Saccharomyces cerevisiae S288C: one gene and its partner. Changing the gene in region 1 together with any one later gene gives a genetic interaction. Each region holds a gene or a part of one and is shown on either strand. Other genes may lie near its edges.

Region 1 (8,084 bases):
TAACGGCACTAAGTTCGAACAAGGTGAAGTTATCAAAAAGGAGCTCAAGGAATTCCGTCAGGAGATAATTGATCGTGTACCTTTGAGACCCTTTACTGAAGAAGAGATCAAAATTGCCAACGTCCCGCTTTCGTTCAATGAATATCTAAAGAAACACCCTGAAGTCAATTGGGGGGCTGTAGAGTGGCTGTTCTCGGAGGTTTACTTGTATAGAAGAGTAAATGTTCTTTTCCAACGCCAATGCGAATGGGCTAAATTTGACATATTCAACAGACTTAAACAGTCAACTTTTGAGTCCTCGTTTTATGGTGTCGTGGAATTGGCGTTAAGGTATGAAAATCTGTTACCACAGCTGAGAGAAATGAAGCAAAATCCAGGAAATGAGATTGACGATATATTGAAAGTTCTTTTTAAAGAGTTTATTGAGATTTCTTTGTGGGGCAATGCCACTGATTTATCTTTATTGACCAACGCTACGTTAGAAGACATTAAATCAATCCAAGGGGCGAAAGCAAGAGCTGCATCCGAGTCCAAGATTGTTGTTAATGACACGGAGAAAGCATGGGAGGTATTAACCAAAGCCAGGGCCGATGCCAATAGCAGAGAAATTCGTGTTGATTTTGTATTAGACAATTCTGGCTTTGAATTGTATGCTGACTTGATGTTGGCAGCTTTTCTGTTACAAAGTGGTTTGGCTACCAAATGTATTTTCCACGCTAAAGACATTCCATACATGGTTAGCGATGTTATGTTAAAAGATTTTGATATATTAGTTCATGACCTGAGAGATCGTGAGTTCTTCCCAAGTGGTGAACCCTCGACAAAGGAATCCAGAGCTCTTGATTTATTTGCTGGTGAAATGGAAAAGTTCGTCTCTAGCGGTAAGATAGAATTCCGCGAAGATTCTTTCTGGACCACGGAATTAGATTATTGGAATTTGGACGCAAACGAAACCAAATACCATGGATCCATTTTGCACAAAGATTTGCAAAAATCCAATTTGGTTATTTTTAAGGGTGATCTAAACTATAGAAAATTAACTGGCGACAGAAAATGGCCCCGCACCACTAAATGGGAAACGGCTATCGGACCTCTTGCTACGAATGGTATTACATCATTGAGCTTGAGAACCTGTAAAGCCGATGTACAAGTTGCTTTACCTGAAGGTCTAGACGCGAAATTAAGTCAAGAATGGGAAAAGGAAAATCCTGGCCGTGGTTCTTGGTGGTGTTGTAGCGGTAAATGGGCAGTCATTTGTTTCTGCTCTGGTATACATAAATAAGAATATGATAAGTTCTCTATATAACTTTACTTTATGACTTTCCCTATGAAATGTTCCAAAAAAGCACATAGATTTTTAGTACGTGCCTTTTATTTTATGTACTTCTGATAAAAAAAAGAAAGCTCCTAAGGACAAATTACAATCAATGGCGAAAGAAGAGGAAGAAAGTAATAACGAGGAGAGATCATAAACATGGCGTCAGTAACAGAACAATTCAACGATATTATTAGCTTATACTCAACAAAATTGGAACACACATCTTTGAGGCAAGATTCACCAGAGTACCAGGGATTATTACTTTCCACGATCAAGAAATTATTAAACTTAAAAACAGCAATTTTTGACAGGTTGGCATTGTTCAGTACTAATGAGACCATTGATGATGTGTCTACTGCTTCCATCAAATTTCTAGCAGTTGATTACTATTTAGGATTATTGATATCAAGACGACAGTCGAATGATTCGGATGTTGCTCAAAGGCAGTCTATGAAATTGATTTACCTGAAAAAAAGCGTTGAATCTTTCATTAATTTCCTGACACTATTGCAGGATTATAAGCTTCTAGATCCTTTGGTTGGTGAAAAACTAGGTAACTTCAAGGATCGTTATAACCCTCAGCTTAGCGAATTGTACGCGCAACCAAAAAATAACAAAGATTTATCTGGAGCACAGTTGAAGAGAAAAGAAAAGATTGAGCTATTCCAGCGCAATAAAGAAATTAGCACAAAACTGCACTGCTTGGAGTTGGAATTAAAAAACAACGACGAGGACCACGACCATGATGAATTACTAAGAGAACTATATTTGATGAGGTTACATCACTTTAGTCTTGATACGATTAACAACATTGAACAGAATTTATTTGAATGTGAAATGCTCTCTAATTTCCTCAAAAATTCCGTACATGAAGTCAAATCATCAGGTACTCAGATACGAAAAGAATCGAATGATGATGATTCCACTGGTTTTACCGATAAATTAGAGAATATAAATAAGCCATTGATAGACAAAAAAGGTCAAGTCTTGAGGAACTTCACGCTTGTCGACAAAAGGCAACAACTGCAACAAAAAGTGCGAGGATATGGTCAATATGGACCAACAATGTCGGTGGAGGAATTTTTAGATAAAGAGTTTGAAGAAGGTCGCGTTCTTCAAGGTGGCGAAGAACCAGAGCAAGCACCAGATGAAGAAAACATGGACTGGCAAGATAGAGAAACCTATAAAGCTCGTGAGTGGGACGAGTTCAAGGAAAGTCATGCTAAGGGAAGCGGAAATACCATGAATAGAGGATAGAAAAAAATACCTATATACGTACACATAAGTATCTATTAGACAGATTCATATATTATTTTTTTTTCTGCCTACATCAGTTATATTTTAATCTTGTGCAAAAGGACTTCGTTATTTTTATTCACGGTGATTAACACCGGCGTAGAATCTACAATCAGATTTGAAGAAAATACCACAGGCTCTTTTCTTTCCGAGAAGTTGATGTCTGCTACGACAAATTCGTCGATGGATGGTTTTAGGTTTTCTAAATTCCTAAACTCAAAGTCTCCATTACTATATGATACGGTGATTATGCTGTCGTTCAAATCGAGTTGTATTGGTAGTGTTGACGATGGAGTCAATTGTTCCTTCAGTACAACTTTTTTCTTATCAAAAGAATAAACCAATAATCTCTCATTGCTTAGCTGAATCAGTAGCTTAGAAGTTTTTCTATCCAAAAATAAATGGTAACCTTCTTCTTCTGGCTTACCCGATAATATTGTATCAATCTTCAAATCAATTTTTTGTAGAAGCTTACCCTCGAAATCATATATGGTAAGCTGGTATGGATTTGAAGACAGTAATATTAAGGATTTTTCTGTTATACCCAATATACAATCCAGAATGTTTGTGGAATCATTACTATCATCGTCATCATTATCATGTGTTATTTCATATGTTTCTTTTATGTTAATTGGGACATCCTCAGGAGCCTCTATATTGTCCAATTCCCAGATTCTAATTTGAGATTTATTCTTACTAGCTATCAACAACCATTTATTTTTGAAGTCTATATTAATGATATCACTAGACGAAAACGGCTGTTCTGAGTCTTGTAATAGGTCCACATCTGAGATCAAAGATGCGCTAGAAATAGAGAACAATTTCAAATGGAAACTCTTTTCAATAACAAGGAGTTTGGACGTCGAAACCCAGAAAAATTTCATAATGTCGCTATCTTGCCCTAAAGATATTTTCTTTAAGAGTTTGGAATTCAAGTTTGCGTCCACTTGGTGTATTTCTAACGATTTGGTGTCTGCATCATAAAGTGCCATACAGTCCCCGTAGGAGCTGATAATGTCGACTTTCGACAATTCCGAGTGTATCTTGGATATTGTTTCATTATTTTCACGCTTGTTGGCTGTGCTAAACAAAGATTTCACTTTGGTTGGTGATGGTGACTCTGAAGGACCTTGCTTTGGATTGGGTTTGGTGTCCAAGAGGGCATTATTTAAAATATCCATCCCATTTGTCTTCGCACTGCCCTCTTCCTTGGGAGTATTCACGTTCAGTTTCTCTAAATCGTGCAATTCAGAACCCGCTTCTCTGCTATTTAATGACTCTAACTGATTGACCGTGTTAGGGCCTTTCAACAAATAAATTATTTCCTTCACATTTTCTTGAACAGCTAGCTTAGACTGCAGTAATGAATCAGGCACATGTTTTTCTTCCTTTTCACCTTCAGGAGAAACAGCTTTCGATTGTATTTGATTCAATTGATGCTTCAAATCTCTATTTTCGCCCTCTAGTTCTGCAATTCTTGCTTTCATTTCCGACCTTTCTAGCTCCCAGGTGATTCTATCTCTTTCATTCTTCGTGAACTCCGTTTGCAAGTAGTGCATTACACCAGGTAACGTGTAATGCGGATGAACATGTGCCTGGTTAATAGCCATATTGTTTTCCGGTCTAACTACACGCACTTACTTCTTTTGGGTTTCTTTATTAATGTTGTTGCTTGCTCCTCACATTTAGTCGTTCTAGGTGGCTTTTATCTAAGATTACGCGACGGGGAAGATCGCAAAGTTAAGACCAATAGAGTACTATACCATATCCCAACAAAGAAGCCTAGGGGATGGTGCAGCAGTAAAAACTGAATAGACTATAATAGATCATCCTACGTAAAACCCGAATAGGTTATCTCTTAAACCTTGTTTTCCTGTAAAGTTGTCCCGCGCATGTGAAGACGCAGAGAGTGGAGATCAATCTTAAAACAACTGAAGCAACTAGCACTTTCTTGACATTTAATAAGGAACTATTATCGCGTAAACCAAAAGAAACGCATGTAAAACATCTGCAAGTTACTCCATCATCTGACACCTAGAGACGTACGTATCAGAACGATTTGAGTGGAGGGGTACAAAAAGGGACTCTGTAGATCAAAAACTGTAATATTATCCTTTTTTTTACTTTCTGAGAAGCTATTCGAAAACAAGGAGATAGAACTACAAGCAGTTATGAAGGACCTAAATCCAGAAATGGGGAAATTTGCTACCACTAAAGGCCCTCCTCAAGACAATAGAGGCATGGTTGATATAGCGACACTGCCTAATTTTCCTGCCAACCGTAGTGGGACTCCTCGTGAGGAGATGTATCTGGCGCCCAACAAGATGGAAACTCCAAGGATACTTAATATGAATATGGTACCGGATTATTTGCAAAAAGAGAACTTCTCGCCAGATTTTTCTTCTGCTACCGTATCTGCCAAGTCATCTCCTGTCAACGTTACTCATGATGAGTCGCTTCCTCTGGGAACTATTGAATCGAATAGCACAAAGGATTCTAAATATGCAGTTCAACGGCAACAGCAACAAGTGGTAGATTTCATAGAGAATAATATGCAGCTACTGTCTTCAGAAACACTAAATTTTAGATCAGACATTATGAAAACTTTGGAGCTTCCCATTCCCAAGAGAAGAGATATTAAGGGAAACCATCTATCTAAACTATTATTTGCTAAATCACCTCTAACTATCAACACATATTGCCAATTTTATGACCGTAGAACCAAGCGAATTTGCAATCAAGAAATGATATGGAAAGATAAGAACAGTAGAGAGAAGCATGGTTCTAGAAAGTATCAAAGACATTTGAGTAAAGTTCACGATGTCCAGCTAACACCAAATAATTTTACCGAATTTTTTGATCATAATTCTCCACTTTTCCAGGAATGCTATGACTATCAATCTAGATTGATGCGTGATTTACTTGTTGAACCAGATGCCAAATTCAAAGAGAAGAAAAAGAAGAAAAAAGGGGACGTCAACGGAAATCATCCTGAAACCGGATCGAGCCTCATCAACCACCAGGTCCAACAGCAAAATGTTCGAGAACTTCAATCGAAAATAGCCATGAACGACTTGATAGAGATTCTTATCGATTTAAACATTCCGTTTTCTGTTTTAGACTACCAACCAATGAGAAATTGGCTCATCAAATATTCAATAATTTCAACAGATACTTTGCCGGATGAAGTATACTTCAAAACTGATCCAGGCGTGAATGAACTGGAACACAACAGTAGTAATTTAAACAATAGCAATAGCGGTACTCCTCATAATCATAATCAAAACCAACATACCAATTAATTAAAACTTGCTTTTAATCTGCATACATAAAACTTAGATCAAATAAATAAAAAAAAAAGTAAAACAACCATATATACTATTTCATAAGCAAAAGTAATCAAATTAAACAAAAAAAAGAAAATACAAATATTAAATTTAAATTAAGGCAATAAACATATATTATACACATAAAAAGAATAATTAAAGCGCAGATGAGAACTATCTTAATTATCAAAATTCTGTAGTATCCCACTCAACTGTTCAATATCTTAGCCGCACCATTTCTTCGTTATCTAGGCTCACTAGCAATTATTTTTTCTCTTGATTACTAATTGCATCCTGATCGTCTTCGATCGAAGAACCCTGTGAAAAGCCACTAAATGTATGTTCCAAACTATCAGGGCTAACTCCCAATGATTTATTGTTTCCTGCTTTCTGTGAAACCGAGATTTCTTTTGAATGCTCCGCTGATTTACAATCATTAGCGTCTTCTTTTCCACTTGATTTATTTCCGATCGAAATTTTTTCTTCAGGTTCCTTTGTTTGAACAGCAGAACTAGTTTCGGTAGCTTCTTTTGCGGCAGTACTCACCGGAACCCCATCACCACCTGAATTTTTCGTTTCGGCTCCCACTATCTCTTCCTTCTTTAGTTCATCACCTTCCTCTATTTTTTCAAGTTGGGTTGGTAAATCTTCAACATTTTTCTCGACGGATTTGTTTTGTGTTAAATACTCCTCAGAAGTCATACCAATCAATTTTTTAACCTTCTCTTCGTCAATCTTATCATCGCCACGTGCAGAAGCAACATCTTTCATAGCTTCCAACAAATTTAGTTTTTCCTTCTTTAACTCGATTTCGGTCGCGTTCAACTCGCTCTTACGTTCGTTAATCAACGAATCCACTTCCAATTGCTTCAGACGGGCCTCCTTGGTTGATAACTCAGCCTGCTCTTTAGCCTTATTAGCAAGAATAATAACGTCATCATTCAAATGGGATTCCAAGCTTTCTTTAGTTTGACCTAGTTCCAGTAATTTGTCATCCTCTCTGATATTTCTATTCTTCTGGGCGTCAAGATCATTTCCGTAACCAGAGATCTTTCTTTTATGGTCAACTATAGCATCCTGCAATCTTGAGATTTCTGCGTTAATTTCATCGCGCTCTTCCACTAAAGTTTTGTGTTCCGCTTCTGCATTTGCCAGATCGTCATGGTAAGGTTTCAATAGTTCTTCTTGCTCTTTGCGCGCTTCAGTGATATCTTGTTCACATTTCTTACCCCATTCCTCCAAATCTTGATCTAGACGAGCTTTTTCGTCCTTTAACTCTTGCTGCATTTGCTTTTTAAATTCGATCTCTTTGCTCTTGGTATCTTCAAGCAGAGTTTCCCTTTCAGCGACTTTGGTATCCATTCTGGCCACAAGTGCATCAAAGCTGGCTTTAATCTTTTCCTGGGAGGTCTTTTTTTCGGTTTGATGCCTATTAGCCGTAGTAGTCAATACTTTGGCGTCATTAGAAATGATAGAACGTTCCATCGTTTCCCATTCATTTGATGATTTATTATAGGCCTCAGTTCTTTCTGCAATTTCTTCATCCATAGCACGTTGCGCCTCCGCCCTCTCACTCACTTCACCAAGTACAGGAGAAATCAATCCGGATGCGATTTTAGTGATATCTTCTGGTGACAAAAACAGGCCACCACCCATGTTAATCTTGTTATGGAATTCTGTCTTTTTCTGATGATTAGACTGTGCGACAGCGACAGCAGCTTTGTTGTATTCCATATTAGTGAATAGCTTTCTATGCATATCGCTTTTTTCAATGATATCCAATTGTCTGTCAACATTGGCTCTTGCCAAAGTCAAAACTTGCTGAGAAGTTAATTGGCTCAGATAGGTTTCCCTCTTCTGCGCCTTAAGAGCTATACTTTTGTCGATATCCTCACCAGGATGCATGTCTTTCACAGCATTAGCAGCTCCTAATGCAAATTTCATCGACTTGGCTTCTTTCTCAGCAGAAACTTTTTTGACCTTTTGTAAATCTTGTGCTTTTGGAGCATCAACTTTCGCCATAATGTTATTCATCATCTCATTGGAGAAACTGAATTGATTTAAATTACCATGCTCATCAGTCTTGACGCCGTATTGGAAGTTCGTCTTTTCCGGTTCCCATCTTTCCTTAATACGAGATTCTG
Region 2 (7,508 bases), on another chromosome or scaffold:
CAACAATGGAATCCCAACAATTATCTCAACATTCACCCATTTCTCAATATCATCACGTGCGGTCTAAGAAGATGATATGAAGATTGAGAATAGTCATCAGGTGTAATGGAAGCTAATTGCAAGGATTGGTAATTTAGTAGGATGATGAATGACAGTCACATAAGATGAAAAGGAAAACAATAATGCCATTATATCGAGAATATCGATCTCTTCGTGGATTCTTCTCATAGAGAAATTCTAGTATAATATATATACGAAATATTATGGCCTTTAACAACAATAAAATTCCAACAATTATCAACTAATTCGAACATCTCTTGACAATATACATTATTAATTTTTACATTTCGACTTTCTTTGAATTAGGGACTGTCTCTCAATTCATCTCTTTCTCATACAGAATATCACTTATCCTATATAACTTATATAAGATTAGAATCTAACTAGAGCGAGGAGAGCGGAAACTCGGATCAAAAGTGATTGTTTAAGTGTTTGTGCGTTTGTGCGGCTCATTAAGACAATAAGGTTTTGCTTTTGTATTCAATTTTGTGGGTTTTATAACGTATAAATGCGCTTCTTGAAAGCTTGTTAACGATTTTATCGTAAAGAAATAAATAAACTAAAGAATTGAGGAGACAATACTGTTTTGATAAATAAGCCCCAAAAATATTATAGGGCCGCAAGGAATAAATTTCATAATGCGCATATGCCCAGACTCCTCTGTTTCTTTCGAAGTTTTACACTAGACTTGAATTAAATAAAGTATTGGACATAAAACTCTCCGAATCATTGTTCGGGACGTTGTTCCCTTTAATTTTCATTTTCTCAATTTCATAAAGAGCCGCATCAATGCTATCGAAGTACGGAGAATATGTCTCTCCTGCATCACTAAATGTGTTGCTAGTATTATTTTCGTTGTTATTTGCTTGCGCTCTTTCCACACTAGCAGCTACACCTGCTTTGAATAATCGCCTTCTTACTTTGTCATTTATAGATACATTGACAAGGTAAATAAAGACATTGCGCCTCTTGTAACTAGTGATAATTTCCTCCAGCACTTGGGCGGCTGAAGAATCTATTGAGGTCATCCCACCTAAATCGAAAATGACATATTTTATGGAATCCTTCGAGCGAAGTGATTTCCTTCCAGGATGTATCTTAGACGAACCGTACCTCTCTATTCTGTCAAGTCTCTGTTTTAAATCTTCGCTGTTTGTAAATGTGAGAGGCTCAGGTATTCTAACAATCATGCATCCCTCGATTTCTTCTGTGCCCTCAACATCCAGAGAGTTCCTTTTCATGTTCATCATGTAGTCGTCAAGATTCGTAAAGTTCGACGTTCCCGCTACCCTAGCCAGAATTTGGATTCTTGACTTTGCTGAATGCTTTATAATATTTATAATTGAATAGACACATCCGATGCATATTCCTGCTTCGATTGAGTAAAATATTGTAGTGCAGAAGGTAACAGCAAAAACAAATAGTTCACTAAAGCCACCACATCGCAAATGGAACTTTATGTCGCCTGGCACTTCCTCTAATAAACTAATTCCGATGATGGTTGTTATGACGGATAAAACACAATTAGGAATATAATGTACGAATTGAAGAAGTAAATTCATTGTGATTAGGGTGATGACACCCATAAACACTCCCGACATTACGCTTTGTGCTCCTGATAGGGCGTTGATCTTGGATCTTCCATATCCGCCGAATGCGGGAAGAGCACCGAATAATGAGATGACAATATTCATGAATCCTAAAGCTACTAGTTCTCTATTAGAGGAAACGGTAAGATTGTAAGTTGTTCCAAGAGATTTCGACGCGGTCGTAGATTCAAAAAAACCCAACATTGCCACTATTAGAGATGCACTAAAAAGATCTGGTATTAGCTTACGTCTAGGACGAGTTAAAGGGTTTTTCAATTCATCAAAATTGTCCATGCTAAAGTCGCCAATGATAGAAATACCATATCTGTGTTTTAAATTAAATTTCATGGAAATAAGAATAGTAACAATTACCACCAATAATATATCTGGAAAAAATATTGCGCTCTTGTGATATTTCATTAATTTCCTCTTTAGTAGACGCGTTAAAAAGAGGACAATCAAGCAACATCCGCTGAATATTGCCGTTGGTATATGGTATTGTGCTGGTGCATAATCAATGAGGAAAAGTATTTTCTCGAAAGGGGTATGGTAGTGTTGAGGCAAGCTTACTAAAAATTTGTCTAGCTTTAATTCAGAAATCAAAGAGTTGATTATCATAACCAGTCCTACTGAACTTATGAAACCTCGTAGAAGTGCCTTGCTAAGAACATTTCCAAGGAAACCAAATCTGGAAATACCAGAAAAAAGTAGGATAGTGCCACTAACAAATGTTATTACTGTTGAAATATCAATTAGAGAAACATTTTCTTTATGTAGTGTTATAGATTCGACTGCTTGTCCCACGACCAAGGAAATTGCACTTTCGGGCCCAACTATCATCTGAGGAACAGAACCTAAAATACCATAGACAAATGGGCTAATAGCCAAAGAATATAGTCCGCATAAAGGTGGGACATGTGCAATTGAAGTTGTGTACGATAGCGCAAGTGGTATCTGAAATGACGCTACTGAGATACCTGCGATTACGTCGCCCCACAGTTTATTGAAAGTGTACTCAGGAAGCCATGAAAAGCAGGGCAGGTAATAAGGTAAAGTTTCAAACACTGTATTCTCATCAACGCTATCATTATTGTTCGTATTACTTGTATTACTTGTATTATTTGTATTATTTGTATTATTGGTGCATCCTGATCTTGAGTTGTTGGGTGGGGGTACCCCAGTAGTTGAATTAGATGCTGCAATATAGGTCCTGCCTCGATTGGATGAATCCTTATCATAATCAAAATTGTCCGAGAAAGTGTCACGCTGGTCGACTGATCTTTTGAATCTTGGTGGAGCGGTAGAGGAATATGACATCCTTCCACGCCCCAATAACGAATTATTTGATGTCATCCTATAATTGTTTCCGTAAGTTCTTGGAAATCACTAGGAAGTTTGTGGAGTTATTGTTCTCCTCATATTCTCCCATCTGGAAGAACTCTATTATTCCTTTGCCATTTCTCGTAGTCTTTTATATTTAGTCCGCTTTACACCGAAAAGGTCATTTTTAAAAAGGCAAGAGAACTAGGAAAAGTAAAACGTGCCCCCTTCAAAGCGAAGAGATGAATATATTTAGAAGTTAAGAATTTATTTATTTATATTTACCAAGTTTTTCAGTTAGTTCAGGGACTATTTTGTAAAGATCCCCTTGCAACCCATAGTCAGCGACATTAAATATAGGGGCATCAGGATCATTGTTAATGGCAACGATAACTTTCGAATCCTTCATTCCCGCTAAATGCTGAACTGCACCAGAAACGCCAATGGCTATATACAAATTTGGTGCGACTACCTTACCAGTCTGACCGATTTGTAGAGAATTATCACATAGTCCATTATCAACAGAAGCTCTTGTGGCACCTATAGCAGCGTGCAAAACATCTGCTAGCGGCGATAATAGCTTCTCAAATGTCTCCTTATCCTTGAGTGCCCTTCCACCAGTTACCACGTTCTGTGCAGAAGTAAGTTCAGGCCTTTCACTCTTGGTAAGAATAGTTTTAACCCAGGTAACATTTAAGTCACAAGGAGGAATATCAGTTCTCTTCTCAATGGTAACAGAATCCATACTACCCTCTGCAATTGGTGGAAAAGCTGATGCCCTAATAATCAACAGTTTTTTTTCTGCCTGGCATTCTATTGTAGAAATAATGTTACCTGCATAAATTGGCCTTATAAAGGTCTTAGGATCTTTGATTACAGTAACCTCACAAACAGGTTGGACGTCCAAGAGCGCACCCACCCGAGGTAAAACACTTTTTCCAACAGAGGAGTTTGAGACAACAAAATGTGAATAGTCGCCGCCTTTTAATAGTTTCACTAATAACGGAGTTAGTTGTTCGGGAAGACAGGTATCTAATTTTGAATCTTCAAATATGACAAGCTTTTCTAAATTGCTGCATGAATATGAAGATTTTAGCGCCTCAGCAGTTTTTTCAGCTTTGCTACCTGTGATTACAGCTGTGATAGGGTTAGACAACTTTTGTGCAGCAGCCAATAAACTCAATGATGACCTTGAAACAGAGCCATCTTTTGAGCTTTCAATGAAAGCTAAAGTGGAGGCGTAATTTTTCTGGAGGAACTTTGCCTTGCTAGCTCTAGGCAAGACAGCAGCCAATGATTTAAACATAGAAATTAACAATTAGCTGCTTTACCGTTAATGGTAGTAAATTATATCACTAGATTTTGTTTGTTGATTATTTTAATTGTTTTTAATTTTTAGTTAGTAGATTTTCGTTCGAGGCCCTAAAAATGTACCGAAAAGTCATAATAAACGGGCGGAGTCACATCGTAAGAGTAACATATACAATATGCGAGCAGACTTTGTCCATTAAGCCAAGTAACAACAAAAGAACCAAAAAAAGGAAAGTATCTCGTCTCTGTTGAGTAATTCTTATATCTTGCAAGATTTAATTCTCACTACTAATACGGAACTCAATCAAAGTGGCTTAATCCCAAGACATGCATTGAATACGGTATCATTGGCTGTTGACAGTTTAAGAAAAGTAGTTGTCACGTTCCTGAGGTTACTGGGGACAAGGGAAAGTAGATACTCGTCTTACGAAATTGGATATAGTTACTCTCTAATGCTCAATCCATGTAAAGCATGAATCATCTCAACAGAAAAATCTGGGAGAGCATATTTGCAACAAAAGAATCCAAATATCAGTATATAATTATATAAGTGAGCTAAGAAGTGAACAAAAGAAAAGGAAGAGGGGAAAAATTTTGGCTGGACTTGTAGAACGATAGAACGAAAGAGTCCAAGGGGGAAGTAATAAAGTTATTGAACGAAACAACAAAAATTCGATGGAGATATTAACAAATGCATAGCAGCGCAGCTAACCGACCCGAAGCTAGTACCAACGAATTTTTCAACTATTCTGTGTTGATTGTCTCCTTTGCAACACCGAGCTCTTCAGTATTCTCAGCTGAAAGTTATTATTGAAATCACGTTGGGGACTTTCATGATCTAGTGGTCTTGGTGAGTAGCATTTAATATTTTGACCATTGAAAGGGCATCTCTCAATTGGAGAAAGGCCACTCTTAGGGATAGGCGTTTTAACAATCTGTTTATGGGATGAATGATATATTTTTGAGGATGGATTCACGATACTGATATGTTTCCCGTCCGCATTATTCGGATATGTAGTGCCTTCTTTCGATAAAATAGATGCCAATCCTGGCGTATGCTTTGTTTCGATGACGGAGCTTACCAATTTTTCACTTCGTATTTTCGATGAGTTCTTATTTTTACATTTGACGTTCAATATTCCGACATACGTCTCTCTTTCTGAAATGTTGGAACTCTGTGGCCTTGGATTTGGTGTTTTTTCACCCGAAAAATTGTTGATAACTGCACTTTTCTTTGAGGTACTACTATTTATATCTTCCTGCTCTTTTGTTCCCCGCTTAAGATGTTTTGGATGGCAAGTTTCAATAAACTGCGGTTTTATTCCTGCTTCTGAAGAGGTGCCCGAGATGTGAACCTCATTTCCACCACTACCAGTATAAGTAAAGTAGTCCGTACCTTCTTTTCCAAAGTCATTTGAGGAATATACCAAAAAAACACCTTCCTTTACTTGAAAGCGATCCACGAATGGGAAAGTATCCCCTTCCGAAGTCACATCTGAGGGAACAAATTTTAAAACATATGAGATGTTGTTTTCATCCACGGCATCATAAAATTTACAGCAATTATTCTCATACATCAAGTTTTTGAGAGTGTAGTCATGCAATCCTAAATCTTTGAAATGCATCTGATCTATTTGTTTCTGTATTTCTCTTTTCTTGAGTTATATAAACGGAATGATTAGTAGTTTGGCAGAATTTATAGCAAGTATTAAATAGTTGAATACCTCAATATTCTCCATAATAAACGCCATATCGTACATAAAGGCTAAAACAAGAATGCCTGATACCGTTCTGCTTTTTGTTTTATCTTTCCCTATATTTTCTTTCCCTTTTGATGCTTTACGTAATTTTTCCCGGCATATGTGAGCTTCCTAATAGACTCTATTTTTATTTTTCCCTTTCAAAGTGCGAGAGAAATACACACAACCAGCCTACGCTTATTTTCACCCATACCGTCATACGCCATATGATATATAATGTGAAACAAACGCGGGGAAGAGCGCGACACGACAGCTTAGCAGGGGCATTCCACGCAACACCTGAAACTTTAAGTAAAACTGTTTCTGCGAGGATATCTTGGCAAAACAAACACTAACTTTCGAACTAAATATAGTGATCGTGGTCATAAATTAATAAAAAGAGGATAAATAGAGATAAAAGAGATATGTGACTAAGTTGCTGGCAATATGTATTATTTATACTTTTATCTTCTTGAAGCGTATTCAAAATTGCGTTTCGGTAAAGCTCTCACCAGATGTACTTAAAGTTTGGGATGAAGCACCGTTTTGGACAACTTTCATTAAGGAATCAACATATTCTGCACCAGACCATAGCTGGTGTGTCATGATATCACAATTAGTCTCCTTTTCCCGTTTTTGCACTTTTTCGACGTATGCTTTCATTCCGTCACTTTGGAAGCTATTGGCTAATTCCCAGAATGATACTCCATCTGAATGCAGACCGGCAAGGGAAACCAGTTGCAACGTGAAGCCTTCTTTTGCCAAGTCCCATACGAAGGATTTTAATGCCTTATCATCAAAGCCGTGAGCGCTCCAATTGAAACTAGGAGATAAGTTATATACTAGCTTGGTAGCTGGAAGTTGTTTATGAATTTTTCTTGAAAATGAGCGTGCCTGCTCCAGGTCAGGAGTTTTCGTTTCCAGCCAAATCATATCAGAATATGGGGCAAACACCAAAGATCTTCTAATAGCTGCTTCAATACAACCGTTAAACATGTAATATCCCTCTTTGGTCCTCGGAGCATCCCAGTCAAATATAATTTTCTTTAGTGGTGTCACTTCTTGAGCTAAAAGTTTCATTTCTCTTAAGCTTAGGTATGCTCTACCCAGCTTGTTTACCATAAGGTCTTCCTTCTTTTCTTTATAGCTTTCAAACTCGCTTGCCGTAAACTGCTTTTCTAAGGCCTCTTCAAATGTAAACAGCTCATTTTCATGGTACCATTCTTTTTCCATGTCAGCAATGGCGGAGTTGGGAATTTTTTTGTCCTCCATCTCAATCAATTTTTCGCTCCAAGGCACCACGTTATCTCTTATTATACCCCTAATGAATTCGTGGTCTCTCGGATCACTGCTTGAACTCAACAGCTTACCATTACAGGAATCTGTTCTTGCAATAACCAAATTTTCTGTCCCCATGATATCCCATTGAAACCTGGTGGAAATCAATCTCATAAGATGTGTTGCTGTGGGCACCAAAACAGCCCCACTT

The links.
Region 2: mutations in RSF1 (region 1) and AIM45 together harm fitness more than expected from each alone (negative genetic interaction), as found in Saccharomyces cerevisiae (2 studies listed by BioGRID).

The regions. Positions count from the first base shown.
Region 1 is NC_001145.3:326,008-334,091, forward strand, and holds RSF1 (Rsf1p), read left to right. Parts: upstream 1-4,785; coding exon 4,786-5,916; downstream 5,917-8,084. Other genes in the region: YMR027W (putative methyltransferase), read left to right, coding at 1-1,282; TAP42 (Tap42p), read left to right, coding at 1,475-2,575; FAR8 (Far8p), read right to left, coding at 2,653-4,224; EIS1 (Eis1p), read right to left, coding at 6,205-8,084. UniProt on the Saccharomyces cerevisiae protein: Mitochondrial and nuclear transcriptional activator required for respiratory growth.
Region 2 is NC_001148.4:560,767-568,274, forward strand, and holds AIM45 (Aim45p), read right to left. Parts: upstream 4,276-7,508; coding exon 3,241-4,275; downstream 1-3,240. Other genes in the region: YPR003C (uncharacterized protein), read right to left, coding at 738-3,002; HAL1 (Hal1p), read right to left, coding at 5,021-5,905; methylisocitrate lyase ICL2, read right to left, coding at 6,503-7,508. UniProt on the Saccharomyces cerevisiae protein: The electron transfer flavoprotein serves as a specific electron acceptor for several dehydrogenases, including five acyl-CoA dehydrogenases, glutaryl-CoA and sarcosine dehydrogenase.